Linked DNA regions of Diceros bicornis minor. The protein of the gene in region 1 interacts with the protein of each later gene in a pairwise test. Links are inferred from orthologs where the notes say so. Each region holds a gene or a part of one and is shown in the gene's direction. Other genes may lie near its edges.

Region 1 (7,515 bases):
ATAAGAACCACAGGTGTATTCTTCAGAGAAGCTTGCGATATCGCCTTCACTTGTGCCACTGCTGGCCCTCTTGTTGCTTCTGTATGTTATGCAGTTCCTGGCACAGCTGCAGGTTCCTTCTCAGGAGCTTTTATTCAAAGGTTGTGGTGACTGGAGATGTATTTGCACACTCTACCCAGTGGTCTGAAATTTTAGTTGGCAAATTAATAAAGTAAACACCCCTCCTCACCACCATCTCTTCCCTAGCCCTAAGGCTTAGAAACTTGAACATCTTACCCTATTCCCTTTGTTTTGAAGTAGTCCTAGAGATATTTGTGGACTGTTCCTAGGCTGTGGACCACACTAAGATCAGTGCCCTAGCAGAGTTTCTGTTTCCCACTACTGCATCTTTCTCACGACGCTGCCCCTCTCAACACCCTTAACAAATCATATCCATTCCTCAAGGCCTGGCTCAAATCATTTCCCTCGAAATCCTTTTTGACTCTCCCGCTTTCCCCCACCCCAAGCAGGGAGCGAATAATGTTTCCTTCCTCTGAACCTATTGCAAAGCAAGTAAGTTTCAAAGTATGTGTGTTTGTATCTGTCTATAATCTATCTATATGTCACTATACTATAAACCTTGGGTGAGACAGGGGTGTAAAGTATGATCTACTGCTCTAAATGAATTTCCTCTCTAGTGGAAAACATGACAGTTCAACAATTCAGTTCAACAGTAAATGCTCTCATGCCAAGAAATTAGTTTGGGCACTGTGTGGTATATATGATGCTTAAGACTTGTTTTCAAGCACCTTGTCTAAAAAATGTCTAAAATATGCATACAATTAAGTGTAATACAAGGCAGAATGTGATAAGTGACACCAAAAAGGTAATAAAGCTATATGGGAATGTAGAGTATTTAGAGAATATTTCTGATCAAAAAAAAGCTTATCAGGGAAAAATTTTTAGGGAAAGTCACATTTCAGGTGATGTTTGAAGGATGGGGAAAAACAACAATGGAGTCAGAATGAGGGGGAAGAATTTCTACTTGCAGTGAGAATGTTGTGTTGAAGGCTTGAGGCGGGAAAGCACAAGACAAGCCTGGAGAACTTAGTGGACTTGTTTGCTTGAGGGTAAGATATGAGTGATGAGCAAGGTTTTGTTGTCACAGAGGGCCCTGGATGCCATGCCAAAAAGTTTAGACATTATTCTAAAACTTTGGTGAGAGCTACTGAAAATTTTCTAGGTGTCATGATCAAAGCTTAGTTCTAGGATAACATATGGCATCAACAGAAAATAGTTTTGAGGATGAGACGTTAGACTGAGACAGAGGAATCTGCAGGTTATTGCTGGAATGAAGGCCAGAGTTAATGAGGGTATGAACTAGACTGGTAGCAGGAGAAATAGTTTTAGGTAATGGAAGCAATATTACAAGTGACAAATAGTCAAGTGAAGCATACAAATAATTATGCCAAAGGTCAGAGAAAAAAAATGATTCTGTAGGCTTGGGTGCTCAAGAAAGGTTTTAGAGAGGAGGTAGCAATAACAGGCACAACGTGGGGAGTGTAATGACTTGAAGGAATGATCAGAGGTGAGAAAAGTATAATGTACAAGTTCTTCTATAGATGGTAATAAACATGCTTGCCTGTAATGGAGTTTATCCATAGAGAGTAATGAGAGTGCAGCGTGAAAGACAGACCAGGAGTTAGTTTGGCAGGCCTTGAAATCCTAGTTAAGAAGCTTGGGTTTTATCTTCCAGACAGTGGAAGCTTATGATGAATTTAAAGTACGAGAGTAAAATGATGATGCATGTTATTTACACCACTTCTTTGACATGACATATGTACTACCTTGTGTTGAAGTTATATAAGTTCCTGGACATAGGATTAAACTTTGCTCAATAAATTCTTGTTTATTGAGAATTAACTCATTCTGTCAAGGAAGTATTCTTCTACTATGTGAATAATAACCTTGTATACTTTAAGTTTGAATATTGGGACCTATAAAAAGGGACCTATCCAGTTAGAGCTGCCTCATATTGGCTCATGAAACTGACTGGTGAAATTTCAGGTTATTTTGTGAGCCAGTTGACCTCAAGTTGGTAGCTTGAGATTGGCTATTTAGCAAGTATTTATATCAAGGAACTTGGCAAATGCTATAAATTGGCTTGTTTTCTGGAGAGTTGGTTATTAAACATTTACCAGCACCTCACTGCTTATCTTCCCCTCCCTCTCTCTCCCCAACCTCCATCCAACTAGCCACTAAGTTTTTTGAGGGCAGAGACTGAGTCTTATTTGTCTTTGTTATCCTCAACAATATTTGGACATTAATTGTCCTCACTTAATGTTTGTAGAATTAAATAAATAAGCTCTTGTAATTTTTTTTCAGACTGACCATTTAATAAACAAAAATCATTCAGAAGAAAATGCCTCAAATAGACATCTAGACTCTGTGGGCCACATCAGATCCTATGCCTGTTGTTGTAAGTTGTTTTATTGGAAAACAGCCTCACTTATTCATGTATGTATTGTCTATGGTTGCTCTGTGCTACAAGGGCAGAGCTGAGGATTTGAGACAGAGAATGTATGGCCACAAAGCATAACATATTTACTATCCAGTCTTCCCTGAAAGACTGCTGATCCCTGATCTAGACCCCCACCTCCAATGTTTCCTTAAAAAGTAGGATTATTTCTAAAAAGTGCCATAACAAATAACTAACTATACTGTATATTCTCACAGATAATTTCATAATTTGTGCATACACATAAGAATTTTTTAGAAATTAATGTAGACACAGATAATTACACTTTTATAAGTGCAGGATTAGAGATAAATGATTGGTTGTCCAATGGTGGAACTTTCTACCTTGAGAAGTAACGATTACCCCACATCTAGACATAAACAAGAAGACATCCTTCAGCAGAGAGCCTTGTGTAATTTCTTCATGTTACTGAACAATGCTGCGAGAAATTTAGCTGCTGTCTGATGATGTCTATGTATGTATTTGAACTTATACTTTCAGAACTTCTCTTACACCCAGATTCCAAAGGGGATCTGCTAAAAAGTAGTCTTAATGCAAGAGTATTTATTCCCACAACAGAGTTGGACATTTTAAAAACAAATACAGAGCGTATCTTTGCATATTTGGGTTATAGTTAGCTGTCAGAGTTTACATTTGCGCAATACTGATTAATAAAGTTAATGTTCTGGGTTGTATATTCCTTGCAAGTCATCTTTAAAGGCAAATGATGACGTCATTTCAAATTTAGAATTCTCAGGGAGAAATTAACTTCCTGTTTCTTATTTGTACCCATATTACAGGGAAAATAGTTTTTGAACAACTATCTTGAACAGCACCTGAAGTGTGAAATGGCGCAGTAACTTAACCGGATAGAAGAATATAAAATGAACACCTCAGCTACATTAAACTGTTCCAGTGGGGCGGGCACTCCTTGGGCACCGTTTCCGTCCCAAACATTCTGGGGGATAGTGTTCACAGACAACTCGGGGATGCTCGCGCACGGCTGTCGGCGCGGGAGCGGAGTCCACTGTCGACACAGGTGTTCTGATCACCTGACCGAACCTGGCTGACCCAAGGGCGGAAGCCCTGGCCAAGAAGCAATGACTCCGCGGGATTGCGCAGGGTGGCTACAGGCATCTACTCCATTTTCCTTTCGTTATGATGAGGATCTTTCCCTCATTAATAACTCCCGCACCCCAGGCAATACGATCAAGCATTTTAAGTCTTCCAAGTAGGCAAAAATGAACCGTATTAAAATAGCAACAACAGAACAGCTCGCAGGCATTTACTACCCAGCCTCCTCCCAGCAGGGTACGCGACGCACGAAGGGGCGCTGCGGAGACGAAGACACGAGCACGGCCACCGCGGTGCCTAAGGTGACGGGGTGGGGAAACTTCCTGGACCACCAGCGCGCAGGCGCATCCCCGGCCGCAGCGCCCAGTGGTCGAGCCTTCTTTCTAGTAATTTCGCTAGCCGTGACGTCATCCCCGTGCGCCATTATAGTGCCTCCTAGAACCCGCGAATTTATTTTTGTAGTGAGAGGGGTGAAAAAAAATGAACTGACTTTTGCCGCTCCAGCTGGCTTTTAGTCCTTCTCTCTGAACGCGCCCAGACTTTGAGCAATGCAGCGGGAAAGGCCAAGAACAGCATCCGTGGCTCGAAGCGACGCCCGCCGAATATGACTCGGCGACGCCGCCCGCCGCCTTACCCGGCGTGCTCCGCGCGGCGCCGGCGGAGGGACGTGGGGGGAGGGGCGGGAGGAGGAAGCGGCGGCTGCGGATGTCGCTGCGACCAAGCGGCGTCTGAACACACGGCGGCTGCCGAGCGCCCGACCCGGGCCTGCGCCGGAGCCCACACCGACTCCGCGGCCCCTTGCCCGCCAGGGTGGCCCCGCGCCCGTTGCCATTGCGGCGGCGTGCGCCGCATTCTCCGCTGCCCGGGCCGGTCGGCTCTGGCGTCTCCTGGCTCTCCCTCGCTCGCCTGCTCCCTCCTGCGCGCCTGAGTCACTGCCGCCGCCGCCATGGCCGAGAAGAGTGAAAGCGGCGGCCCTCCGAGCTCCCAGGACGGCGCCGCCGCGGCCGAGGGTGCCGGCGCCCCCGCGGCCGCTGCCTCTGCGGAGCCCAAGATCATGAAAGTCACCGTGAAGACCCCGAAGGAGAAGGAGGAGTTCGCTGTGCCCGAGAACAGCTCCGTCCAGCAGGTGCGGGCCGCCCTGGGCTCAGGCTGCGGTGGGGTGGGGATGGCGGCGGGACCTCCGCCCCCGGCAGGCGAAGGCGTTTTAGAAGGGCTTGGGAGGGGGTGTCCCCGGAGGTGCCCTCGGCCTTTCTCCGGGGTTTATCCCAAATGAGATCACACCCAAGTTCGTGGGTTTGCTTCTTGCGACACCGCAGAGGTTTGTGGCGGGGCCGCGCGGCCTGTTTGTGGGACGCGCCGACGCCGCGCCGTCCGCGCCTCCCTCCTGCTTCGGAGACCCCCGGCCCCCTCCCCGGCTCCCCGCCCCCAGCGCCTCCCTCTTGCTCCTCACAAAGGAAGGGACCCTCCGCCGGCTCCGGGCGGGGTGGAGGCGTGGAGGCTGGGCTGGGGCGAGGGTTCGCTTTAGCCTAGTCTGCGGTTTTGTCTCGTGAATTAAAAAAAAAAAAAAAAAAGCGGGGGATGGGGTGCTCATTGTTTTACCTTGCCGCGGGTTAAGGTAGATTTTGGGGTGAGGAGCACGTGTACATTTAGATATGCGTTTTGACTGCTAAAATCTTTCCCACTTTCCAATTTTTAGAAATAAAATTATGACGTAGAAACTGGTTTCAGCCACATCTTAAGTAATAGTACTAGGCCTGAGGAGAAAGGTGGATGACTTTCATTGATGACTTGCTGTTTCCGTTTTACTATATTTGTCATCCCTCAGATGCCAGTCATTGGGGAGGTTTTTGTTTAACTTGAGACGGATGATAGCTATGTTATTCAGATAATAGCGGTTGCAATCCAATAAGAGAGAACAAAAGTGGAATTAGTGGAGAATATTACAAATAATTTACTATTTAAAATCTGTTGAGGAATACAAATTTTGCAGTTAACTAAGAATCTTGAAGAATTCAAATTGTTTTAGCTTATTCCTGAATATACATCCCAGGATATTTTCCATAATAATTGAGTTGATCTCTGATGATCTCAATGTGAAGTTTATCAGGAAACGGCAGTTCCCGAAATCGACCTTTGTTTCCCAGAGATAGTAAATGATTAGGGCCTGGTGTATATAGTTCGGAAAGGTGGTGTGTTTTGTGAAGCAGTAAGTAGTGCGTAGCATCAAGTGAGAGAAACTTTTACCAGCCAGGGAATCACATTTTTTTGTCTGTCAATTTTCCTGTAAAAATTTTCCTTAACGTTTTTGTATTTTCCAACATACAAGAAAGTTGAAAGAATTGTACAGTGAACACCTGTATGTCCATCACCTACAATTAACATTTTGCTTTATTTGCTTTGTCACACAGCTAATCGTTTATCAGTCCTTTTTATTTTTTGGATGCATTTCAAAGTAAGTTGTAAATATCGGTACATGTTACCTTTAAGAGCACTTCAGCAATGTGTCCGTCATTAAACTGAGTGCAATTTTTTTTTTTTAGGTAAATTTGACATGCAATGAAATGCACATGGTTGCCATTCCATGAAATTTCACAAATACATATACATCTCTGCAATCCAAAGCCTTATCAAGATGTATAACTTCATAATTGACTGGAAAGTTCCCTCTTGCTTTTTCTCAATCAGTTCAGTTGCTCTCCCCTCCATCAACCACTGTTGTGATTTTTTTCGCCATGGATTAGTTTTGGGTATTCCAAAACTTCATATAAGTGGGATTATATGCTATGTACTCTTTGGGGTAAGGCTCTTTACTCAGCATAACGTTTTTGAGATTCATTCTTGTTGTGTATATCAGTAGTTCTTTTTTATTGTTGTGCTGTCTTCCATTGTGTGAATATACCATAATTTATCCATTTGTCTGTTGAGGGTCACCTGGGCTGTTTCCAGTTAGTTGGCTGTGAACACTCTTGTACAGATCTTTTGTTGGACAAAAGCTTTTCTCTCTCATGTTAAATACTTAGAAGTGGAATGACTGGGTTTTAGGATAGCTAGTTGTAGGTTTCATTTTGTAAGAAATTTTTAAAGGGACTTGTACCGTTTTGCAGCCCCATCTGTAGGTTTAGTTTTATAAGAAACTATATTTTTAAAGAGTGCTTGTACCATTTTGCAATTCTACTGACAGTGCGTGGGAGTTCCTGTTGCTCCACATCCCTGCTAACATTTAATAGTGTCAGTCTTTCATTTTAGCTCTAGTAGTGGGTGTGTAGCCATATTAACTTTTGAAGTCCTTGGATCTTCTTTCTAAGATTCCTAGTTCAGGCCTCCACTATCCTGGCTGCTTTCAGCATTTTACTGTAAAAGATTAGAAAGAGTCAGTGTTTTATAAGTAGGAAAATTCACTTAGGTCATTTTATGATGTTATATCTGTGAGGATTTTTAGTTTTTGTGATGGTGAAATTAGAATTTTAAATTTTGTGGAAGTTTTAATTTTATTGCTCTGTAACCAAAGTAAAATTTTGATAAGATAAAATTAAAGCTTTTCTGAAGCAACTTTTTCTGATGGCAGTTGAATTTTTATTTTGTTAAATGCTTTCTGTTGAAGCGGAAAACATGATGAAAATTGAAGCTCACCATTTGCATTAAGAACCTGAAGACGAATTATCTATGAGGTCTAAGGGAAGTACATAGAGGAAAATGTGCAAGAATAAGAAAAGCAGTTTTCAGATGATTTGTAAAATTCTACAGGAAGCACAAAAGGATCTGTCATTTTGTAATTTAAATTTTTCTTAAAGAGTTTGATAGATTTAAACTATTTGCTACAGATTAAAATTTGTCATTAAAATATACTTAATGACATTGATTCCACTAAAAATGTTCAGGAAAAAATTGGGAAGTATTTAGTCCTAAAAATTCTTATCTAATCTTAGAGGTAAAGAGGGGGTAAG
Region 2 (7,836 bases), on another chromosome or scaffold:
GCTAGTTCTTGAGACACAATTTCAGAACCACATGTTTTTAGTTGAAATCCCAATTCTGCTATTTACTCTCTGTGTATCCATAGGAAAGTTACTTAAATGGTTTAAGCCTCAGTTTCCTCATCTGTAAAATGAGGATAAGAGTAGTACCTACCTCATTGAACACTTACTTTGTATCTGCCAATCTTTGCTAAATGCTTAAGTAACATTGTCCCACTTTAACAGATGTAGAATTTGCATGCTTAGTAGCTAAATCCACACACGATCATACAGCTAATAAGAGGTAGAATCGGGATCTGGTCCCAGATATACCTGACATCAAAGATCAAAGTTTTATAGCATTACTTGTTTGGAGAGCTATTAATGGTTTCATAGGTTTGGTTAGTATGGCTCTGCCAATCTCTGGGAATCCTGATCTATATGTTAAATTTTAGCACAGAATACTACTGAATAGGAGTAGACCATCATTATAGAGTCTTGTATGCATTCGAGTTTTTAGTGATTCATAAATTTTATCCAGAGACAAAAGATTGTTGTTCATTTCCAAAAGTGTGTAACCATCTGAATCCCAAAGGGCTTAACTCTGGCACATATCACTTCACTCTGTGAAACCACTATTTTTTCCTTTTAGTCAATAGAATAGTTAATATTCCTAAAAGGAGGCTGAGGTGATCAGAATAAATGTGTGCATTTTTAATAAAGGTTATTCCTGTTAATTGCATGGGTAATACCCAGACTTTATAAAAAAAGAATGGATACCAAAGTGAAATGGTTTCAATCTTCAAAGTTCCTTGAGTTAAAATAACATACTCAATATGAATTCTAACAGTAATGGAAAGTCCATTTCTATGGTACTTGTTCTTATTTATTTAAAAAATAGAAAATCAACAATTATTTTTTATTCCTATTTAATTTTATGTCAGATGCCGTGGTAGGTGCTAGAGGCACATACATGTATTCTTCAAAACCACAACAAAACTGTTAAAGGGTATTTCTTGCTCTCTCCTCTACACCACCCTACTCTTTGACAGATTAATTGCTGCTTATCCTAGCTCAAATGCTGCTTCCTTGGAAAGGGCTTTCAGGGCGGTCTCCTCTCCCCATCTAAATTAGGTCCTTCCTTTATCCTCTTTCCTTAAGCCCTATTCATTTCTTCTTTGTACTTACTACAGTTTTTACCGTATAATTAGTTGGATGTTTGCTTAATGTCTGTCTGTCCTGCTAGACTATTTTCATCTATTAATTCATTCAACAGGCATGTATTTATTGCATACCTACTAAATGTCAGGTACTCTTAGGTGCACGTGTTAGTTGAAGATACAATGGTGGACAAGAAAAGGTCACTGTCCTCATGAACTTACATTCTATTGGGAAGATGGACAAAAGCCAAAAAATAATTTGAAAGCATTTAGTGTTATAAGGAAAACAAATAAGGGTAAAAGAATAAGTAGCGACAGGGCAAAGGAGAGGAGGCTATTTGGGATATTTATGAAGGGTGGTCAGAGAAAACCACTCTAAGGAGGAGGATGTGTGAGCCAAAAAAACAAAACAAAACAAAACAAAACCCCTGATTAATAGAAAGGAGTGATTCTTGGGAAATAGAGAGTAAGAGGTTCCAGGGAGGAGGAACAGGAAGTAGAACTGCTCTGAGACTGGAATGAACTTGACTTATTTGAGGACCTCCAAGAAGTGTGGCTGGAATCAAGTGAGCACATGAGAGGGTCATTGATGCTGCTGGAGAGGTCAGGGCAGATAAACTAGTCTTGGAGGATTTTGTTCTTAATGTGATATAAAGTCTTTGAAGGGATTTGAGCAGAAGAAATGATATCCAATTTACTTGGAAAAAAAAATAACTCTAGTTGCTTCATGAAGAACAAACCCCAAGACAGGCTTCAGGGAGACCAGTTAGGAGACTATTGCCATATTCTGGGCAAGAAATGGCTGTGATTTGGATGAGCTTGTAGTAGCAGAAACGGGGAGAAGCAGTCAGTCAAGATCTATTTTGGAGGTAGAGGGAACAAGACTTGCTGAAGAATTGGATATGGGAACGTACTAGAAAGAAAAGAATCGAGGTTGACTCCCAGGTTTGTCTTAGAAAGGGGGTGAAGAGTGGCGCCTCGAACAGAGATGGGAAGAGGGGAAGAGAGGTATGTGTAGGCGGGGTGGGGGTAGAGTTCTCTTTTAAACATGTTAAATTTGAGATGTTCTTTTTATTTTACGTCTGAGTGGAGATGTTGATTGGCAGGTGGAGATATACATATTGTCAATGAATAAGAGGCATAAACTGTAAGAGAATCAAAAATGTTTACTTTGGGTCTTAAGAATTGCAATTCGGGAGACACAGATTTGAGTAGAAACTCAAATGTGCCCTGAGGAGAACAAAAGAGGCAAGAGTTTATAAAGGCAAAAAGAGATAAATTCTGGCCAAGTTACACAGATTGTTTTGCAAGATTTGTGACTGATGCTGGCAACGACTGTTACTTCTTGGCTATACGCGGTTGGTTGCTAAGGCCATCTCTAAGCCAGAAAGTTCTTATCTATGGGAGTGAGTATATTTCTTGGAAGACGGTCGGAATGATAATGGTGAAGCACAGGTCAAAAGTTTACATTCCACCTAGGTAGAGACGTGCATGAGCCCCACTTCCCTAATGGCTTCCCAGCTCCATCTTAGGTACCCTTGACATGTGTGACTCCATTTTGTAATCACTTTCCACTATATGCTTATATATATACCTCTGAGCAGAAGTTGAGCCTGGCCAGAAGTCATCAGCTTGCAGTTGATATATAAAACCAAGGAATTGGATAAAATCATGTAGGGAGACTGTGTAGAGAAGTAAAGAGAGCTGGGGTCTGAGCCCAAGGGCACTGCATCATTTAGAGCCCAGCAAGAGGAGGGGCCAGCAAAGGACTCTGGGAAAGAGCAGCTGGTGAGGAAAACAGTGGCTACCCATTGTTGAAGGATAGAGTAAGGACTAAGAATTGACCATTCCTATACCCCAGTACCTAGCTCAGTTACTGGTACATAATTAGACCACGATAATATTTGTTGAATGAATGAATCTTTACTTCTACTTATTTGTCAGACATTTATTGAATGTCCCTAGGTTCCAGGCACTATGCTAGGTCCTATGGATTCACAGCATAGTGTTCTCAATAACCATAAATTGTAGTGGGGGCTGTAGACATATATACAAATGCAACAAAATATGTATTTTTAGTTTAGGATAACTCTCTTCCCCTCCTCCCACTCTATTCTAAGGAGAATGGGACTGAATATCTGGAGGGCCCTTTGTCGGTGAGCAATGATGAGTTGGGATATATAAAGTTGGGGCGGTTCTGTAGGCAAAGATTTTGACAAGAGGAAGAGGCTGAGGAAGAGGAGTGGTGGGACTTCAGTTGAAACGGACAGACAACCCCAACCAAAGGTATCAATTTCAATTAAAAGCAAAATATGGTGCCAGCTCAACTCACATGGCTGAATTCTGTGGGAAAATGGACAGTTTATGAAGAATAGTAACAGCCTTAGAGTTATACCTAATTAATCTGATAAGAGAGTGGAGAATGAGTGGGGGATTGGGCAAGAAGGGAAAAGGCTTTTAAACCAAATGTTATAAAATTATGACTTGAGCTTTAAGATATGTTGAACTGTTGACCCTTAGAATTATTACCCTTAAGATCCTGCCTTTCAAAAAACTCTCAAGTCTTGATTCAGCAGCCCCTACTGGCTAAGAAAAAAATTGTCGGTATCTCATATGAGCCCAACTCCATGCCAGAAAAGGAAACAAAAACTCTTGATGGGAGGATGAAAGAATAAATGTGAAGCAATTTACTGCATTACACAATTTCTTAAACTTACTTTGTGAGAACTCCTCTGGAACTTTGCTGAGGTAGTTCTCATACCTCTCCTTGGACTTCACACTTTCGTGCGCCCTTGCAACTCCACAGCCCCGCCCCAACAAAAAACGGAACAAAAAAATGAAAAATCTCTCTTGTCCTTTAAGGCCCAGATGAAAGATGGACTCCCTTCCCCAAACTAATTGTTCATCAAGCTGTGTGCCTATAAATTTTTCATTCATCTCACAGCTCTTATGCCATTGTGTATGATAGTTATTTGAGTCCATGAAGTTATTGACCTTGAACTCCAAGACATTGGGATCTATGTTGTTTAATGCTCAGCGGTGGGGGGCGAGGGGGGGAGCGGGGGGCTGGCGTTTACAAGGCTCGCAATAAGTGAGCGTAACCAGAGCGAAAGTGTGCTGTGGCGAAGGCACAGAAACAGCAGCTGCAAACCTTTATCCGGAACAGTTTATGGAAACAATGACAGCATATTCAACAATGATATATATAGAAGTGTTTAATCAAGAGCTGGAAATAAAACCACAGCTCCACGCACAATTCTTACTACAATCCTCCCATTCATTAGCGGCTTCTCTGATCCCATTCCCTCTTCAAATCCGAGCTCAAACCAAGCTGGGTCTGGCTGGCCAATCGGAGCGCAGCCTCCGCAGTCGCGAGGACCGCTGCAGCCAATGAGAGGCCTGGGAAATTTGGTGCGGTGAGATTTGCCGCCCTCTGGCGGAATCTTGGGGGCGTGGTGACGCGTTGGGCGGGGCTGAAGCCTGATTGGCAGGTGAGCGATCAGCCGCCTCAGGACGGGGACGCCACCAGGGGCGTGGGAGGGTTCGTGGGCGGGGCAGTGAACCAGCCAATAGCTGACGCACTATGCGCAGAGGGAAAGATAGATCACCAATAGCGGCACGGATATGGCGTCGTGGGCGGGGTTTAGGCCCAAAACGGTGTAGGAGCTGCGCCTGTTAGTGTCGTCCTCACCGTCACGGTCGGCGCCTGTTCCTGGGTTCATTCATAGGTTTTGTTCATTCACGGAGCTAGTGAGGCCTGGTTGAAAGCCATGGAGAGCGCCATGCCTGCCGCCTGCTTCCTGTACTGGGTGGGCGCGGCCACCGTGGCCTACCTGGCCCTGCGCATCTCATGGTCGCTCTTCACGGCCCTCCGGGTCTGGGGTTTGGGTCACGAGGCGGGGGTCGGACCGGGGCTCGGTGAATGGGCAGGTGAGTCGGATCCAGGGCCGCCCGCCCCCTCGCTCCTGCTGCGGCTCGCGGGGCTCAGGGCCCGCTTGGGCCCAGCGCTTGGCCTTCCCTCCCCAGCTCCCCTCTCCTCCTTCCTGAGGCTCCTGCTCCCGCCTCCGTAGCCATCTTCTGGCTTGCTTAGACTTGCAGAGTTTTCAGATCCTAAATACACTGCTGGCCCAGCTCAGCGAATCTCAAGTGCCATGCGTGGGTGCAGGAGAAATCTGGCCTGAACTCCCTGGGGCTTGCGTTCTTTAAGCCATTCCGGTTTCAAGGCCCGGAGTCAGTCGCCCTGCTGCCTCCTCAGTCACACGCTACCCTTCTTGGCTTGCCCCTTACGAGTGCTTTTAAAGAACATTTTTCGCTTGCTTTGAGTACTGGCCTTGTGCTAGGGATGAAAAGCCTTCTGTGGGCTTTTGGGGTGAGGATGGAGGAAGCGGACTTGGAATTTCAGAAGTCTTTCTGCTCTTTGGAATCTTACCTCTCCAGTTACTTGAATTTGGGCTATTTCATATAATTTACAAAATCTTTTTTCTTCTTTTTTTAATCCTCGCGAAACTGTTTTGGAGTCCTAATGAGTAGCAAAAATTTGCTTCTGCAAAGCGGTAAATCATGTTAAAATCAGAAATACTTTTTGCAAAAGGACCTTTGTAGGAAAAAGTATTCCCACAAAGAGTGAGCTAAACGAATGGACCTTGGTCCAGTCGGAGGAAGATTTTAAAAATAGAGGACTAAGGTCGGATTGGAGAAGCTGGGGAAATGATCTGCAGGGGAGTTTTGCGCTTGCTTTTTTGCTGCTTCTGCCTTTTATGTTGCTTTTCTTTATTTTTCGTTCCTTTTACCTTTTTTTTTTGTTTTTTTAAACCGAGTGATATGCTGTGGTCGTTCTCTGTTGTGATTATTCATTATGATGTTTTATAATTGAATGTTTGCTGCACCAAACATTTTACTGAATTTTGGGATGGTTGGGGGTTGCTTTCAGACTAGGCTCAAGTAAGATAAACAGTGTTACTCCATATTCTTCACTTTATTCATTCAATAAACAACTTACTAGGAAAAACATAATAAATTAACCTTTTGGGACAGCAACATAAAGAGAAAACATCTCAGGTAGGAACGGATATGTGAGCTCTGTCCGTGATGTGGAGCAGCTATTAACATTATAATACTTATTTTTAAAAATCATTTCTTGTTTTTGGATATTCTTTGAAAAATCAAGTGAAGTGCTCAGCTTGATTATAGTCAGGATTATAATTTCACAATGGACTTGGCCGGGTTCTTGGTTGTCAGGTTTGGAAAGCTTCCTTGTGGACTTTTGAAATAGTTACACAAGACTTAGTGCCCTTGGCTATCATGTATCAAGACGAAGTTTTGTCATTTGTAAGGAAAGACAAATGTTAACTTTTTTTTTTTACTGTCTAAAATTGACCATAGTGGCTAATAATTCAGATGGTCCAAGTCATCTATATATGAGTCCATCGTAAAAGTCAAGAGATATGACATTGTCATTTCATAAGTAATATTTGTATTGAAAAGATTTGGTCCTAGAGGAAGGATCGTTGATAAATTAAGGGAAGTGTTTAAAAGATTTAGAAGTGAAATTTGAACTAGAACACTGGGATATAGCAGACAGGATCATGGTGTCATGAAGTGAACTATTGTCGAGTTCAGTTTACCCTGGATTGTTGGAAAATCTCTCTTTTCAAAGTCTGAGCAGAAGAAATGATTAAATTGTTATTTGTAGCATTACTCATATGTGGTGGCCTGGATATTACAGTATTTCCTTTATCTCTCCAAATTCAGGGAATCTTGGGAAAACAGATTGAGTAGTTTATCTTAAATAAGTTCTTTGTATCAGTTGGAGGGGTGAATTGAAATAATTTGAAAAACAAACCTGCAGAGATGATACTTGAATAATTAGTTGAATTGTGATTAAAAATAGGTAGATAATTTGTTCAACCAAAGTTATGATTTTAGAATTAATTTTGTATGTCAATAGTGCTGATAAGTTTTCTCTCCTACAAAATTGCTGTCATCTGAGTCTATTCCTGTGTAACCTTCTTGGAATGAATGCTAGTAGCAGGCATCAGGGAGGCGTTGCCTACAGATATTCCTCCACTTGTCATGGGGTTACAGTCCTGTTAAACCCAGTGTAAGTTGAAAATATCGTAAATCGAAAATGCACTTGATACACCTAACCTACCGAACGTCATAGCTTAGCCTAGCCCACCCTGAACGTGTGACATCAGCCTACTGTTGGGCAAAATCATCTAACACAAAGCCTATTTTATAATAAAGTGTTGAATATCTCATGTAATTTGTTGAATACTGTGCTGAAAGTGAAAAACAGAATGGGTGGATGGGTACAGAATGGTTGTGAGTGTATCGGTTGTTTATCCTCATGATTGGTGGCTGACTGAGAGCTAGGACTCGCTGACCCTGCGCAGTATCACAAGAGAGGATCATACCTCATATCGCAGCCCGGGAAAAGATCAAAATTCAAAATTTGATGTAGGGTTTCTACTGAATGCATATCGCAGCCCAGGAAAGGATCAAAATTCAAAATTTGAAGTAGGGTTTCTACTGAATGCATATCACTTTTGCACCATCCTAAAGTTGAAAAATCATAAGTAGAACCATCATAAGTCAGAGACTGTACTTTCTAGTACTAATGTGCGTTTAACATCTTCCTCTCCATAACCAATTAAATATTTTAAGTATTTTATAGTAATGTGTGTTGAGTTGATAGCAT
Region 3 (6,954 bases), on another chromosome or scaffold:
AATGGATAAAGATGTGGTGTATATATATATATACAATAGAATACCACTCAGCCATAAAAAGAATGAAATCTTGCCATTTGCAACAACATGAACAGACCTTGAGGGTATTACGCTAAATGAAATAAGTCAGATGGAGAAAGACAAATACCATATGATTTCACTCATATGTGGAATCTAAAAACAAACAAAATGAGCAACCAAACCAAACCAAACAAAAACAAACTCATTGATACAGAGAACAGATTGCTGGTTACAAGAGGGGAAGGGAGTTGCGGGGTGGGCAAAATGAGAGAAGGGGGTTAAGTATATGGTGATGGATGGTAACTAGACTTTTTTTGGTGATCACTTTGTAGTGTATACGGATGTCAAATTATAATGATGTACACTTGAAGCTTATATAATGTTATATACCAATTTTACCTCAATTAAAAAAAAAAGTAGAAGTGTTTGACAGAGACACATTGGCCAAGTTGCTCGATCTCTTACAGTTTCAATGTCCTCATCCTGAAATTGAGAAACAGGGTACTTCTACCACAATTTTCCCACTTGCACCTAGCTCTCCCCTGCCCTCCCCCCAGCACAATTCCTATGTCCTAGGAAGGAAAGGCCAGCCCTGTGTTGAATGAGGATTAACTCATTCAACTCCTCAGGTGAGGAGTAACTCACATGTTTTGCCAAGAAAAAAAGTGTCCCGGAGGGGTAGGGGTTTTGCTTTTACAACAGTGCTCACAGTTCTGCACCTCTGGGTTTCTGGGGAAAGAGCTACATGAAAAACGTTTGAGGTGCTTGCCCTGTGGCATAGTGGTTAAGTTTGCACCCTCTGCTTCCGTGGCCTGGGGCTTGCGCGTTTGGATCCTGGGCGCCGACCTACACACCGCTCATCAAATCATGCTGTGTTGGTGACCCATATACAAAATAGAGGAAGATGGGCACAGATGTTAGCTCAGGGCCAATCTTCCTCAGCAAAAAGAGGAAGATTGGCAGTGGATGTTAGCTCAGGGCCGATCTTCCTCACCAAAGGGAAAAAAAGTACAAATAAAATTATGTTTTAGCAAAAAAAGAAAAATGTTTGAATTCTCACTTCCCCTATTTCCCAGAAGTAACTTCACAGCTGTCCTCATGTCAAACAAGGGGGCCTCATTAAACCACACTGCCCTCTGTGTGTCCTATTCAGAATGCCCTGCTATCCTGAGCCATGCCCCAAGGCCAGACCAGGTCACTGGGACATCCCTGAGGACCAAGATGTGACTATAGGTCAGTGTTAAATACACTCACTCTGCAGTGAGACAGCCACGCTTGAAATCCCAGCTCTACTACTGAGGTTGTGAGACTTGGGCAAGTTTCTGGGCCTCAGATTTCTGGGCTTCTGCTTTGTAAAATGAAGATAATAGTAGTACCTGTCTATGAGTACAGTCTTTGGCACAGAGCCACATTTATTGATAGTGATTGTTATCTTCTTCATCAGAGCCTCTGCATTCAGAAGACTCAGGCCACTGAAGCCTGGCTCCTCAGCAAATCCCACCACTCTAGGAGAGGCACTCTGGATGAAGGGTTCAGGCTAAGAAGGGCAAGAATGCCTCTGCAAAGATCTCCAATTCACACCTTGATTCAACAAATATCCATCATTTGTCGACCAAGTGCCAGGACTAGTGCAAAGCCCCAAAATGCAGACATGACCATCACACAGTCCCTCAAGTACTCCAGTAGGTTGGGGAGGCAAACACAGATCCAGAACTACAGTCCATAGTGAAGAGGACCCTTACAAAGGAGAGACCAAGGACTTACGGGAGCTCTAGAGAAAGGAACAGCTAGCCATGTAGTAAAGAGGTCATGGGGCTGTTTCTTACACGGTTGACAGTGTTGCCAGGCAGATAAATGCAAAAAAAACAGTTTGGGTAGCTATAACTGTCTAAGCAGACACTCTGGGAGGAACACAGATTTTGCCTAGGGATTTATCTTACCTTCCCCACCAGGAAAAAGACGTAGGTGTTAGAAGCCAGCCTGTCCCAGGAGCAAAGGGACAAGACCCAGACCCTATCCCCAGCCAGAGCATGGTACACAGCAGGTGCTCAACAAATGGCTGTCCAGGGGCTGGCTGGATGCTGGGCTTGGAGAGAAGATGTGGAGGACAGGATGATGGTCTGCAGATATTTAACTAGATGTTTTGTGGAAGACATCAAAGACTTCACGGATTTCCTGCAAGCGGTGGAATTAAATTCAAGGGAAGGAAGTTGATTTGAAGAACAACTCCCTTTCCTGGATTTGTTTGTACTTGTGAATTTGCCTGCGTAATAGCTTTCTAAAAATTAGAGGACTCCAGTAAAAATTCTTTTTTTTTTAAATAATTTTATTTATTTTTTTCCCCCAAAGCCCCAGTGGATAGTTGTATATCATAGTTGCACATCCTTCCAGTTGCTGCACGTGGGACGCGGTCTCAGCATGGCCAGAGAAGCGGTGCATCGCTGCGAGTCCAGGGTCCGAACCCCGGGCTGCCAGCAGCGGAGCGCGTGCACTCAACCGCCAAGCCATGGGGCTGGCCCTCCAGTAAAAATTCTTAAGCTCTACCAGGACTCTACTCTCTTGGAGCTGTGAAGGGGATTTGGGGGGAGACAACATCAAACACTTACACTATAATGACAGCTGTGACAAGGGTTTTGAAGGCGAAGTATATGGTGCTATACGCTCTTATAAAAGGGACACTGGTCCAGTAGTTCTGAGAAGGGGACACTGGAGTTGAGATCTTGAGGATGGTGTTTATTAAGGAAAGGGTGCTGGTTGGGTGGAGGGACAGACAGAGACAGGGCTCTAGGCAGAGTAACGGCCTGTGCAAAAGCCAGGAGGAGGAAAAGAGCCGGGCTTGTTTAGGTAGCAAAGAGAAGATCGCAGGAGAGATGAGTATGGAGGGGCACCTTTCCAGTCGCGGCTGGAGAGGTATGCAGGGATTAGACCATGTAGGGCTTAATAGGCCACAATTCGGATTTTGAGGGTGAAGAACATGGTTTTTAACTCACCAGTGTTTCCTTAGTAACTAGTAGATTAGTGGCGCTCAAAGTTTGGTGAAAGAATTAATTTATCCTAAAAATAATGCAACTCACTTTTATGGAGAACAGTGAAATAATTACTATATTTGTCTCATTTTTCTCACCCATAAAATGGGGATAATGGTCATGGCAAACAGTCAGTAAGGTAATGCACGTCCAGTGTTTAGCCAGCGCTCGTTAGTGTGAGCCGTTACTGGTGAAAAGGCATCCTGTGTCTTCTTAGAGTTCGGGGTAGGTTTTTTTTTTTTTTCCTTTCTTTTTTTTTTTGGTGAGGAACATTAGCCCTGACCTAATTAACATCCCTTGCGATCCTGGTCTTTTTGCTGAGGAAGATTGGCCCTGGGCTAACATCCCTACCCATCTTCCTCTACTTTCTATGTGGGACGCCTGCCACAGTATGGCTTGATAAATGGTGCATAAGTCCGCGCCAAGGGTTCTGGGCCTGCGAACCTCGGGCCACCAAAGCGGAGCGCGCGAACTTAACCACTAAGCCACGGGGCCAGCCCCATGCTCCGTGTAGTTTTGAATGTTTGTCCAGGAGGTGTTAGGGGTGGGGAGGTTGCGTTTGCTGAGTGGAAGGTGATGCTACTGGCCTGGGCGGCAGGGGTCGGGATTGAGTCACCTTCTTGGCTGGAACTGGGCAAGAAAGAAACCAATTAGTGCCCGAGCGGGGGACGCTCCTTCGCTTGCTTCTCCACCCAGGTCTCATCCCGCCTCTAGGCTTCGCCCAGCGCCACTCAACCCTCCCTTCGTCTCTACTCTTCCCCGGTCCGCCCCACGCTCCCTTCGCCTGCTCCTCGCCCCGCCCCAGCCCCTAGCTGCGCCCGTCGCCCCGCCCCGCCACCCCCTCTCGACGTGCCCCGCCTACTCGCTTCCCCTTCCGCCCTGCGCTGCGGCTGCGCGCTCCGTGTGGTCTTCCACGCCCGGGGGTCGCGTTCCTGACTTCCAGCTCCACCATGTGGAGCCGACGGCGGGGCAGCCTCATGCCGGCGGGCTGTGGCCTGGAGGAGCTACGGCGCCGCCGGCGGGAGCGGGAGGCAGGTGCGGGCGGGCGAAGGAGCACGGGAGGATGAGGGTATGGCGGGAAGAGATAGGGTGATGAGGCCCTCGGATCGGAGTCGGGGTTCTGGGTCCTGGGCGCCCCTCTCACGCTCAGTCGGCTCCTTGGCCCCCAGTACTGCGGAAGGCACGGAGGGAGCAGCAGCTGATCAGCAAGAGGCTGCTGAGAGACGACGCCCCGGGGGAAGCCGAAGAGGGATGTGTGGCCATGATCCTCGGGGAAGCCGAGGTGAGGGGGCAGGGTGCGCGGTGAGGTCCACGCCGGCTGGCGCCAGATTCCTTCCTCCGGTACCCGAGGTCCGCCCCCAGACCTGAACGCGGTCGGTTCAACACCTCCATCCATCCAGTGGGCCAAGCCAGAAACGAGGCATCATCCTCGGCGACTCCGCCCCTCATCCTCATATCAATACATCATCAAGTCCTATCCGTATTTTACCTCTTAAAGAGCTCTGGAGTCTTTACCTGCCTCGCCATCGCAGCTGCCACCACCCTCTTCTCTGGATACTTACAGCAGCCTCCTAACAGGTCATCTGCATCTCTGCTTGCCGTTCTCAAATTTATTCTCCATACGTCAGTCAGATGTGTCTTAATAACACACAGAGACCAAAATCCTTGCTGTGACCTATAAAGTCCGGCATGGTTTAACCATTTCCTACCTCCAACTTTATCTAAGCTTGCTCATCTCAGCCAAACTGTCACCTTTTCAGTTCTTGGAACAATATATCAAGCTCTTTCCTGTCTTCAAGGCCTTTGGATTTTCTGTATCTAATGTGGGTCCCTTTTGGTATGCTGTCTTGATAGCCTGTTTGCAGAATATTAATGATACTAATTGTTTGCTTGTTTATTATCGTTTCTTCAACTAGACTTTAAATCATGGGAACCTAGACCCTATCTTATTTGTCATCACTGAAAACTCAGATGCCTGTACAACATTTGGCATATAGTAGATGCTCAAAATTTATTGAATAAGTGAATGAAATAATTGGTTTTAGCTCGTTTATTCATTCAGCAAGCATTGGGCATTCCCTGTACTTATATTTTCTATGTTTACATATACCGTTTACAGAGGACGCCTAGGTTATACCATTTATTCATGTGTGCTTACGTTATGCCAGAACACTGTGCTGGGTACTGAGGTACGAAGAGATGAAAAAATAGTCCCTTTCTTTGAAGTGTTCACAGCCCAGTGAAGGAGACGGATGTGCTACCACCTGTCATAGAGGAAACATGAAGCACAATAGAAAGCTCTAAGTCTGCCAGAGGAAGCCAGAAAGAGCTGACTTCCCAGAGGCAGTGACAGGAGTAGAGCTCTGAAGGAAGTGGAGGACCTGGGGAGGGTATGCCAGGCAGAAGAAATAGATAGTACAAAAGCTTGGCAGCATTACAACACAAGTCATGTTATGCTAGGTGTTGTTGGAGTGCAGGTTGCATGGGGAGAATAGCTGGAGGGGTGGGTTATGCTGAGAGGTTATCCTTGAAACAACTCTGTAAGAAGGCGGGGTAGATGTTATTTCCATTTTTCAGGTGAGAAACTGAGGTTTAGGTCCCTTGTAGAGTAAGTGGCAGGGTTGGTATTAAACCCAGTTCTGATTCCCACTTGTCCACTCTACTGCAAGGTTGGTGCTGATTAGCCATAGTGTGAGTGACAAGTTCTAGGGATGGTGTGATATGGGAGGGCTCATAGGTGAAGTGGGCAGAGCAGGACTTATGACTTGCTTTTTGGCAACTGTGTGTTGCCATCTCTCCTCTCCGTGCCCTGGGGTCCAGATCCAGCAGTTCCTGCGGTTAGCCCAGCGGGGGACAGAGGAAAAGGAGAGAGAGAGGGCTCTGGTCAGCCTTCGTCGAGGCTTGCAGCACCCTGAGACGCAGCAGACCTTCATCTGGTCAGTGTGGGTGGTGTGAGTGGGTGGCTGGGGCTCTGAGGATGGACAGGAGTGTGGAAAGGATGGGCCACAGGCTGAGCAGGGCTCTGGTGCTCACTCACGTAGGCTGGAGGGAAGCATGCGGACTCTGGTCGGCCTCCTGACCAGCAACCAGGCTCTCCTGCAGCTTGAGGCGGCTCGGTGCCTTCATGAGCTCTCTCATTCTGAGCAGTCTGCGGTGGCTGAGGCCTGCCTGCCAGCCACTTCCTACCTTCTCACCTACCTCTCCGGTCACAGCTCAGACTTTATAGTAAGCCCTGTCCCTTCTTATCTTGTTCTTGGCTTGGATTTAAAGCTTGTGCTTTTGGGTCCAGTTTGAGCTGGCAGGTAGGGAGAAGAAGAAAACCTGTTTCCCCTGATGCCCACAGCCATACATACACTCATCATCTCCCACTCCCTTGTGCCCAGAGCCTCAAGGACAGGGCTGCTCCATCCTCCCCACTCCCACCCCCACCCTTACCCCCACCCCCACCCCCACCCTGGCCCCAGAAGGCCAAGCCCAGTGCTTTTGTTGTCCTGCTCTCAGGAGCTCTGTCTGTATACACTGGGTAACCTGATCGTGGAGAGTGAGGCTGTGAGAAGGCAGCTCCTGCCACAGGGCATTGTTCCTGCCTTGGCTGCCTGCATCCAGGTGAGTCTCCACCTCCTTTCTCGCTCTCCGGGTAACCCTCCCTTCACTTCTTTCCACATGCCCCACCTGCTTTGGCTGGACAGCTCCAGCCTCTGCCCTGGGCTGAGGGGTTGAAAGGCTCAGGAAATTTTATGGCGCAGCTTCCAGAGTCAGATCTCTACCCTGTCTACTTCCAGTCCCCCCATCTGACTGTGCTAGAAGCCCTTGGATATGCCTTGTCCCAGCTTCTGCAGGCTAAGGAAGCTCCAGAGAAGATCATCCCGTAAGTGAAATTATGCCTCCAGACATGCAGGCAGGGGTG
Region 4 (7,126 bases), on another chromosome or scaffold:
TCACAGCACTGAGCAGACTGTCCTGAACTTTGTAAGGATTTGTTTAATAAATATTTGCTGATTGATTTCTCTCTTGGGCTGTGGAGCATAAATTACATGGATGTCTCATCACTCTTCAAGATTTGTGTGTGTGTGTGCGCGCACGAGTGTGTGTGAAAGAGAGAGAGAGAGGGAGGGAGAGGGAGAGGGCAAGAGATTGAGAGAGAGAGATCTGAGCATCAATAAATAATAAACTCCAGGCATGTAGTCTGGAGCCAGAAAAATCGAAGACACAAGCCTCAGCCTTGTACGAGTAACCCACACTTAGTTTGTCGTGTATTCTGGCTTATAACAGTACCTACTCCAACCACCTCCTGGGATTGGGAGCTTTGTAAGAGATAACATGGACTTAAAGTGCCTTGTGATTGTTATCTGGTCCACATGAAATGGGACCAGAGAAGGAAGTGGAAAAGAGGCTCTAAAAGTGGTGTGTGGAGAAGGGATCATAGCTGACATGACCCACTGGGTTTGGTCCCACCTGTCTGAGGCCAACAGGTTTTGTAGCAGTGGACTATTGGGTTTCCAAATATTTCTAGGCAGCAGGCATCCTCCTCTTCATCTCCCACTCCTAGCCAAAGCCATCAATTCTACCTCACCTTTAAAACATCTGAACCCATAGCCTGGCTCCCTGTCCCACCCTCTCCTTGGTTCAGGCCCTGATCCAGCTTCGGCCTCTTTCTGCCTTTGGCCTCTGACCTCCTCCCCCCTATCTACACAGAGGGCAGTTATTGCCCTAAAAAGGTAAATTTGAGGGGCTGGCCGGTGCCGTAGCGGTTAAGTTCATGTGCTCTGCTTCGGCGACCCGAAGTTCGCAGGTTCAGATCCCGGGCACCTATGCACCACTTATCAAAGCCATGCTGTGGTGGCATCCCATATAAAGTAGAGGAAGATGGGCACAGATGTTAGCCCAGGGCCAATCTTCCTCAGCAAAAAAAGAGGAGGATTGGCAACAGATGTTAGCTCAGGGCTAATCTTTCTCAAAAAAAAAAAAAGGGAAATTTGATCATATTAATTCTCTAAGAAACTATGTTGGATATCTAAACCTATATATCTACAGTGTTCTATATCTAAAGAGGGAAGCCCAGTTATGAGGAGGTGCAATCAGGTGAGAGATGTTGGGTGTGTGAACTGGCATAGATAGAGAGGAGGGAAAAGACTTGAGAAATAGTATATAAAACTATAAACTCTGTCTCTATCTGTATGTGTGTGTGTATATTGTTATACAAAATGTGAACAATGGTTATCTGTAAGATTTCTTCTATCATTTATCCAATATATATTTATTGCATGCCTACCACATGACGGGCACCGTTCTAACCCCTGCAGATATTGGGGAACAACAGATCCTGCCCTCTCTTTTTTTTTGTGAGGAAGATCAGCCCTGAGCTAACATCTGATGCCAATCTTCCTCTTTTTTTTTTTTTTGTTGCTGAGGAAGGTTGGCCCTGAGCTAACATCTTTGCCCATCTTCCTCCACTTTATATGGGAAGCTGCCACAGCATGGCTTTGACAAGCGGTGCGTCAGTGCACTCCTGGGATCGGAACCTGAGAACCCCAGTCCGCCAAAGCAGAGTGCACGCACTTAACCGCTTGTGCCACCAGGCCAGCCGCGATCCTGCCCTCTTGAGCTCACATTCTAGTGAGGATAGAAAGAATATACAGAAAAGTCAATAGGAAATCACTCAGGGCATGTGATAACGACTTGGGGAACTGCTTGAGATCAACTGGTCAGGGGAAAGTCCTCTGAGGAAGTGATATTTAAGCTAAACCTCAATGAGAAGGAAGAGTCAGCTGGACACAGTTCTGGAGAAGACTATAACAGAAGAAAAAGGAAGAGTAAAGGCCCTTGGGTGGGAAAGAGTTTGATATTTTTGAGGAAAACATGCCAGAGCGAGTGTTAAGCAGTGTACCGAGGAGAGCAGTATGTGATGGGGTGGAGAGGTAGGCAGCGGCCATATCATCTAAAGACTGAGTGGTCATTGTCACGGAGTTTGAATATTATTCTAAGATTGGAAGCTGTTAAATGGCTTTGAGCCAGGGAAAGACATAGAATGGTTTATATTGTAAACAGGTCACTTTGACCCCTGAGGGAAGAAGAGACCATAGGGCTCAGGGTGGAGGTACACATGAATGGAAGCAGGGGGCCAGGTAGGACAATGTGGCATTGGCTCTGGCTGAGTTGGTGGTGGTTTGGCTAGCAGGTGTCCAAGGACACGGAGAGAAGTGGCCAATTACAAGATCTATTTTGTGGGCCAAATCCACTGCTTACTGATGGATTGACTGGTGAGTGGCAGGAAGGAATCAAGGATGACTTAGCGGGGACGGTGATGCCATTTGCTGAGACAACTGGGAAAAGAATAGATTTGGAAAGAAAAGTTGAGTTCAGCCTTGGACATGTTAAGTGTGAGATGCTAGTCACTTCACGGAGATGACACATGGTAGTTGGAGAAATAAGTCTGGAGTTCCGGGAGAGGTCCTCGCTATGGCTTTACATTAGTGAGTCATCACCATGTGGCTGATATAACAGTCGTGGGCTTGGAGGGATCACCCACGGACAGAGCAGAACTAGATCAGAGAAGAGGGTGGAGGACAGCCCTGGAATACTCCAGCATTTACCAGGAGAGAAACCAGGGCTGAGGAGCCTGGAAAGTGAGGTTGGAGTGAAACCAGAAGGGTGGAGCTTGTCCAGATTGGGGAGGCGGTCAATTGTGCATCCCTGAGAGGCGGAGTAAGGCAAGGGGAGAAAAGAGATGAGAACACAGGATTTGGCAACATGTAGGTCATTATGGTGATTATGAAAAAAGCAGTTTGGGACCCAAGTCTGACTGCAGTTCAGGGAAGGAGGGGTAAGAAGGTGTAGTTGGCAAGGGTACATAGCTTTCAAGAAGTTTTGCTGAGAGGCTGGATCATGGATGTTTTTGTTTTTCTGTTTGTATATTCTTATTTTCCAACAATGAACATTTATTACTTGTGTAATAATAATAAAAACCACATTGCAGATAGCACCCCACTGTTTATGGGAGAAGGAGAAACTCCTCAGTAGAACACGGCAGACCTTCATCTTCCCTCCACTGAGACCTCTCCAACCCCAGGCTTGGTACTCTCCACAAGCACTAATCTCATGTGTGCTGTATCAGTATTTGCTTCTTGCCAGCTTCCACCATATATATAAATTCAGAGTCTGGTGCCAGGCATTAGCTGTGGCTGGGGCTCCCACTCCTCTAAAGCACCCCACTCCATCCCACCCGTGTCCAGGATCATTCGGTTACACACTTGTCACCCACCCAGTTTCACCAACGTATCTGTCCCCCAGCTGCGGACAAAGCTTCTTTCCTGCCCCTACTTCCCCGGTTCTTAGAGCAGCAGGATAGGATAACAGGGAAAAGAATAGGGCCTCAAAGTCAGACGGACCTGGGTTCCTACCTCCATCTGCCACTTAGCAGCTGTGTGACCTCGGGTAAGTCTCTTAACGGCCCCGTGCCTCAGTTTCCTCATCTGTAAAACGAGGTTAGTGCAACCGACATCCTATCAGCTCTGCGATGCCTGACATAAAGCAGCAGCTGCAGCGGTTCACTCTGCAACAGCGTTGCACAAATGCCTGGAGCCACAATAGGTGAGAATTAAGGTGGTTCAGAAATGTGACCTGGCAGTGGGGGCCCCTCACATGACCCCGAGATGTCAGATGGTGTCTCTCTCCCCGCACAGGGCGTGTGCTAGTCCCGTGACCCGTCTTTCCAGTCGCCCCACACTCCAGGTCTGTGATCATGCGCCCCCCACCCATAGCTTAGCCTGACGCGGCGCTGGCTCATGCGCCTTTCCGCCCCAGCCTCTCGCCACGGACCACACGTCCCATCCCTGCCGCCCGGCCCCGCCTCCCGCCCCGGGCGCTACCCTCCAGCTTGCCGGCTCGGGTGTCGGAGCGGCCGCGCCCGCGGGCCGTGCGCACTGATTGGCTGCGCCGCGGCGGCGGGCGGCCCGTGGCCGCACACACCCTCCCCCCGCAGCCAATGGGCGTGTGCGCGTCACTGACTGGGCGGCCCGCGAGCCGGCAGCCCTTCAATAAGCCACATTGTTGCACGAAACTCCAGCGCAGGAGTTTCCACTGCTAGTACCGCGGTGTCACCAACTGAGAAGATCTGTGGGCGAAAGCAGCCCGCGTGTGAGCCGGAGAGGTCTGATCGCCCTAGTGGAGCGGGCCTGCAGTTTTTCCCAAGCAGAGCCTTAGTGATCCTGTGGCTGAAGTTAGCGCCTTGACGGTGGGAAAACCCCACACGTCGCCGGGAGTGATTCTTGGGCGCCTATCTAGCAGTCGTGACTCTCAACACCTGTTTCTAGAGACCCGAGACCCTCCAGCCAGGTGCGCCATCGCCGCTAGCCTTTTTTTGTGTTCCGCCCGAACTCACCGCTCCCGGCCCCGCCGCCAAACCCGGGTAAAAAGCGGTCCGATCGCGCCGCCTTCCTCCCTCGCACGCGCTCCAGCCTCAGTTTCCCAACTCGCTGCTGTCCGGCCGCGGCAGGATGATCGCCTCGCATCTGCTCGCCTACTTCTTCACGGAGCTCAACCATGACCAAGTGCAGAAGGTAAGTAAGCGCGGTCGGGGGCGGCTGGCTTTCCTCTAACAAAGATACGTGGTCCCCGGCCCTCTCTCTGGGGTCGTGGCCGGCCGGGACTCACCTGCTTGACCCTGCGAGGAGCCGCGCCTTCCCCATTCCGGGCCGAGGACGCAGAAAAAGTCAGGGCGGCCGGGAAACTCCTGGGCGCGAGGAGCCACGTCCGCTAGGCACCGGCCGGCGTGTGCGCGCGTGCGAGTCTCCGGGGCTCGCGCACCGCGCGGCTCTCTCCCTCCCTGCCAGTCTGCTCGCGCTCGCGCTTTTTTTTTGTTTTTGGAGGGGCTGGTCACCCGGCACGTAGTCTTAGGCTGCTGGGCCCACGTGGGAGGGACCCCTCTTTCGCAGACCGAGTTCCGGCGAAAGCACGTGGGGAGAGTCGTGGCTGGGGGAGGAGGCTCCGCTGCCGCGTGGGGCTGCCTGGAGCCTCCTGCACTCAGGGACTGCGTTTTGGGGACATGCGGTTGCCCTTGGCGTTCCTCACCGCCTTGCGGAGGTGGGCTTGGGGAGAAGCCGACCTGGGAAGCAGCCGGGACAGAGGCAGAACTCCGCCCGCCGCGCCCCCTCCTCCGAACTGAGGCGTCCGGAACTCAGGCTCCGCGAGGGGCGTAGATCCCCCCTACCCCGATCTGCCTCCGGACGGCCCGCCTGAGTCCCCGGGGCCAGCCTCCAAGTCGGGGGTGGACTTCAGAGGTTACTAATGGTGCTCCTAAAAGTTATTCGGAGAGGACCCTCCGCCTCCTTTCTCCACACACACACACTTTCCTGTCTTCCTTGAGATTCTTGTTCAAAAGCAGCTTTTTCCTTTCCTAGGCCCGGACCTGTCGGTGCCCACCGCGCTCTCAGCAGCCCCTCAAGCCCAAGCTCTCCCTCCGGCCAGTTCATTTACATAAGAAAGAGCCTCCGGCCCAGCCGGGAGCGCAGCTCTCGGTGCCTCCGGGTATGGGGTGGGGGCGGGGCTGGGCTGGGCCCAAGGCGCTCTCACTCCGGGGAGAATTGAGTTTCAGAAATGCCTGGGATTTCAGGATTGGCTCCTGGCCCTGGGCCTCAGCTAGGACTTGAGAAGAGGGAATGGGCTGTGAGGGGGAGGTGGGGGTGGAGAGGGGGGGTGAGGGTGTTTAGAGCCGTGAGGCAATGACCAAGCGTTGCTCAATTACATACTTGAAATTTCTATGTCTTAGTGGGACCACATTTTTGGGAAAATGTCTTGACATTATCGTTCGGTGGGGCGACCTGCTTGTACTCCCATTCTGGGGATCCTGAGAGCAAAGGAGAGGAGGGTGAGTTACCATCTTGGTGTTTTCAGAGGCGTGGCAGATGAACCCCAAAAGAAAGCATGACATTACCCAGCCTCAGACTGGAGTAGGGAGCAGAGAGCGGCTGGTTTAGTTGAGTTTTACTCTGCTTACAGACGGCTGTTACTCTCTAACTCATACCTGGGATGTGACTCTGCTCTGCGCTTTAATTCAGTTTATTTAAGAACGTGTCTGTGAGCCGGCAGGATCTTGGCAACATCTTAGGGCTTCTCTGCCCAACAAGTGAGTTAACCCTTGGGGAAGACTCATCTCTTGGCAAGTCCTAAAATACAAAGCTGGAGGGTCATTAATCCAGGGGAGGTCTTCTCAGTTGGGTGAATATCGCCCCAGGACATTTTAATTCCCTTTACAAATTTCCTCTCCCCCAATCCAGAGGAAGGAGGCTAGGACCAGAATTGTGGAGTGTACCACCCTCCTGGCCTGGAATGGGGGTCATCGCTTTGGTCCCAGAGTGGAAAGAGAACTAGCCAGGGTATCTGGATATGAGTTCTAATCTCTATTTTGTGGTTTATTAACCACAGGACCCTGAGCAAGTCACTTTATCTCTGGACCACCGATTTCTTCTTGTGAAATGGGAATGGTATCAGTGGCCTTGTCCACTTTGTGGTCTTGTGATGATTAAGCACAGAGATGTGGAATCGTCTTTCTTGTAGGCTTCTCTTCTGTTCTTGCAGCTACCTTTCAGCCTGTGAGGTGTCTGGGGGACACTTTGGTGTATTTCCTCTAAATTACCAATAGAGGCAGAATTGAGTCTGGCCTTTGACTTGCCAGGTGTCAGAGCCTGGGACTAAGCCTCCTGGCTTAGGTGAGCAAGCTGTTTGATTCCACCTGCAATTCAACAGGAAGTAGGAAGAGAATCAGAGAGAATATTTTGGAAGCATCTTTCCAAGTTGCTGCTAGAAGGAAGAATTAGGAGAAGGATGAAGCTTGAGTTTAATTTTAGAGTCTTTTGAAAAGGCCTTGATTTGGACTCTTCTGAAATCCCCATCTTCTTACATATTCTGGGTTGTAGTCTGAGGCATGGGAAGCTTAGGTTCACCTGCCCAGAATTAGCCTTATCGGGGTCCCTTGTCTCCTGATGGACAAGCCCAGTTTTTTGTGCCATTAGGAGGAGACTAAGAGTTATTTGCTCACTTTTGCTGATTGACATTTTGAAATGCAAG

The links.
Region 2: the proteins of UBQLN1 (region 1) and HSD17B12 interact in binary tests that used the Homo sapiens proteins (3 or more experiments, as listed by UniProt). The link is inferred for Diceros bicornis minor from reciprocal best matches to the Homo sapiens genes UBQLN1 and HSD17B12.
Region 3: the proteins of UBQLN1 (region 1) and TMCO6 interact in binary tests that used the Homo sapiens proteins (3 or more experiments, as listed by UniProt). The two-hybrid records come from large-scale screens. The link is inferred for Diceros bicornis minor from reciprocal best matches to the Homo sapiens genes UBQLN1 and TMCO6.
Region 4: the proteins of UBQLN1 (region 1) and HK2 interact in binary tests that used the Homo sapiens proteins (3 or more experiments, as listed by UniProt). The two-hybrid records come from large-scale screens. The link is inferred for Diceros bicornis minor from reciprocal best matches to the Homo sapiens genes UBQLN1 and HK2.

The regions. Positions count from the first base shown.
Region 1 is NC_080761.1:10,137,883-10,145,397, forward strand, and holds the start of UBQLN1 (ubiquilin-1), read left to right. Parts: upstream 1-4,507; 5' UTR 4,508-4,517; coding exon 4,518-4,697; intron 4,698-7,515. UniProt on the Homo sapiens protein: Plays an important role in the regulation of different protein degradation mechanisms and pathways including ubiquitin-proteasome system (UPS), autophagy and endoplasmic reticulum-associated protein degradation (ERAD) pathway.
Region 2 is NC_080770.1:26,214,910-26,222,745, reverse strand, and holds the start of HSD17B12 (very-long-chain 3-oxoacyl-CoA reductase), read left to right. Parts: upstream 1-4,824; 5' UTR 4,825-4,906; coding exon 4,907-5,066; intron 5,067-7,836. UniProt on the Homo sapiens protein: Catalyzes the second of the four reactions of the long-chain fatty acids elongation cycle. This endoplasmic reticulum-bound enzymatic process, allows the addition of two carbons to the chain of long- and very long-chain fatty acids/VLCFAs per cycle.
Region 3 is NC_080740.1:58,879,890-58,886,843, forward strand, and holds the start of TMCO6 (transmembrane and coiled-coil domain-containing protein 6), read left to right. Parts: upstream 1-3,938; 5' UTR 3,939-3,997; coding exon 3,998-4,082; intron 4,083-4,216; coding exon 4,217-4,329; intron 4,330-4,545; exon of another isoform or gene 4,546-5,768; coding exon of another isoform or gene 5,769-5,867; coding exon 5,868-5,983; intron 5,984-6,088; coding exon 6,089-6,272; intron 6,273-6,548; coding exon 6,549-6,653; intron 6,654-6,829; coding exon 6,830-6,915; intron 6,916-6,954.
Region 4 is NC_080751.1:14,204,588-14,211,713, reverse strand, and holds the start of HK2 (hexokinase-2), read left to right. Parts: upstream 1-4,120; 5' UTR 4,121-4,557; coding exon 4,558-4,620; intron 4,621-7,126. UniProt on the Homo sapiens protein: Catalyzes the phosphorylation of hexose, such as D-glucose and D-fructose, to hexose 6-phosphate (D-glucose 6-phosphate and D-fructose 6-phosphate, respectively).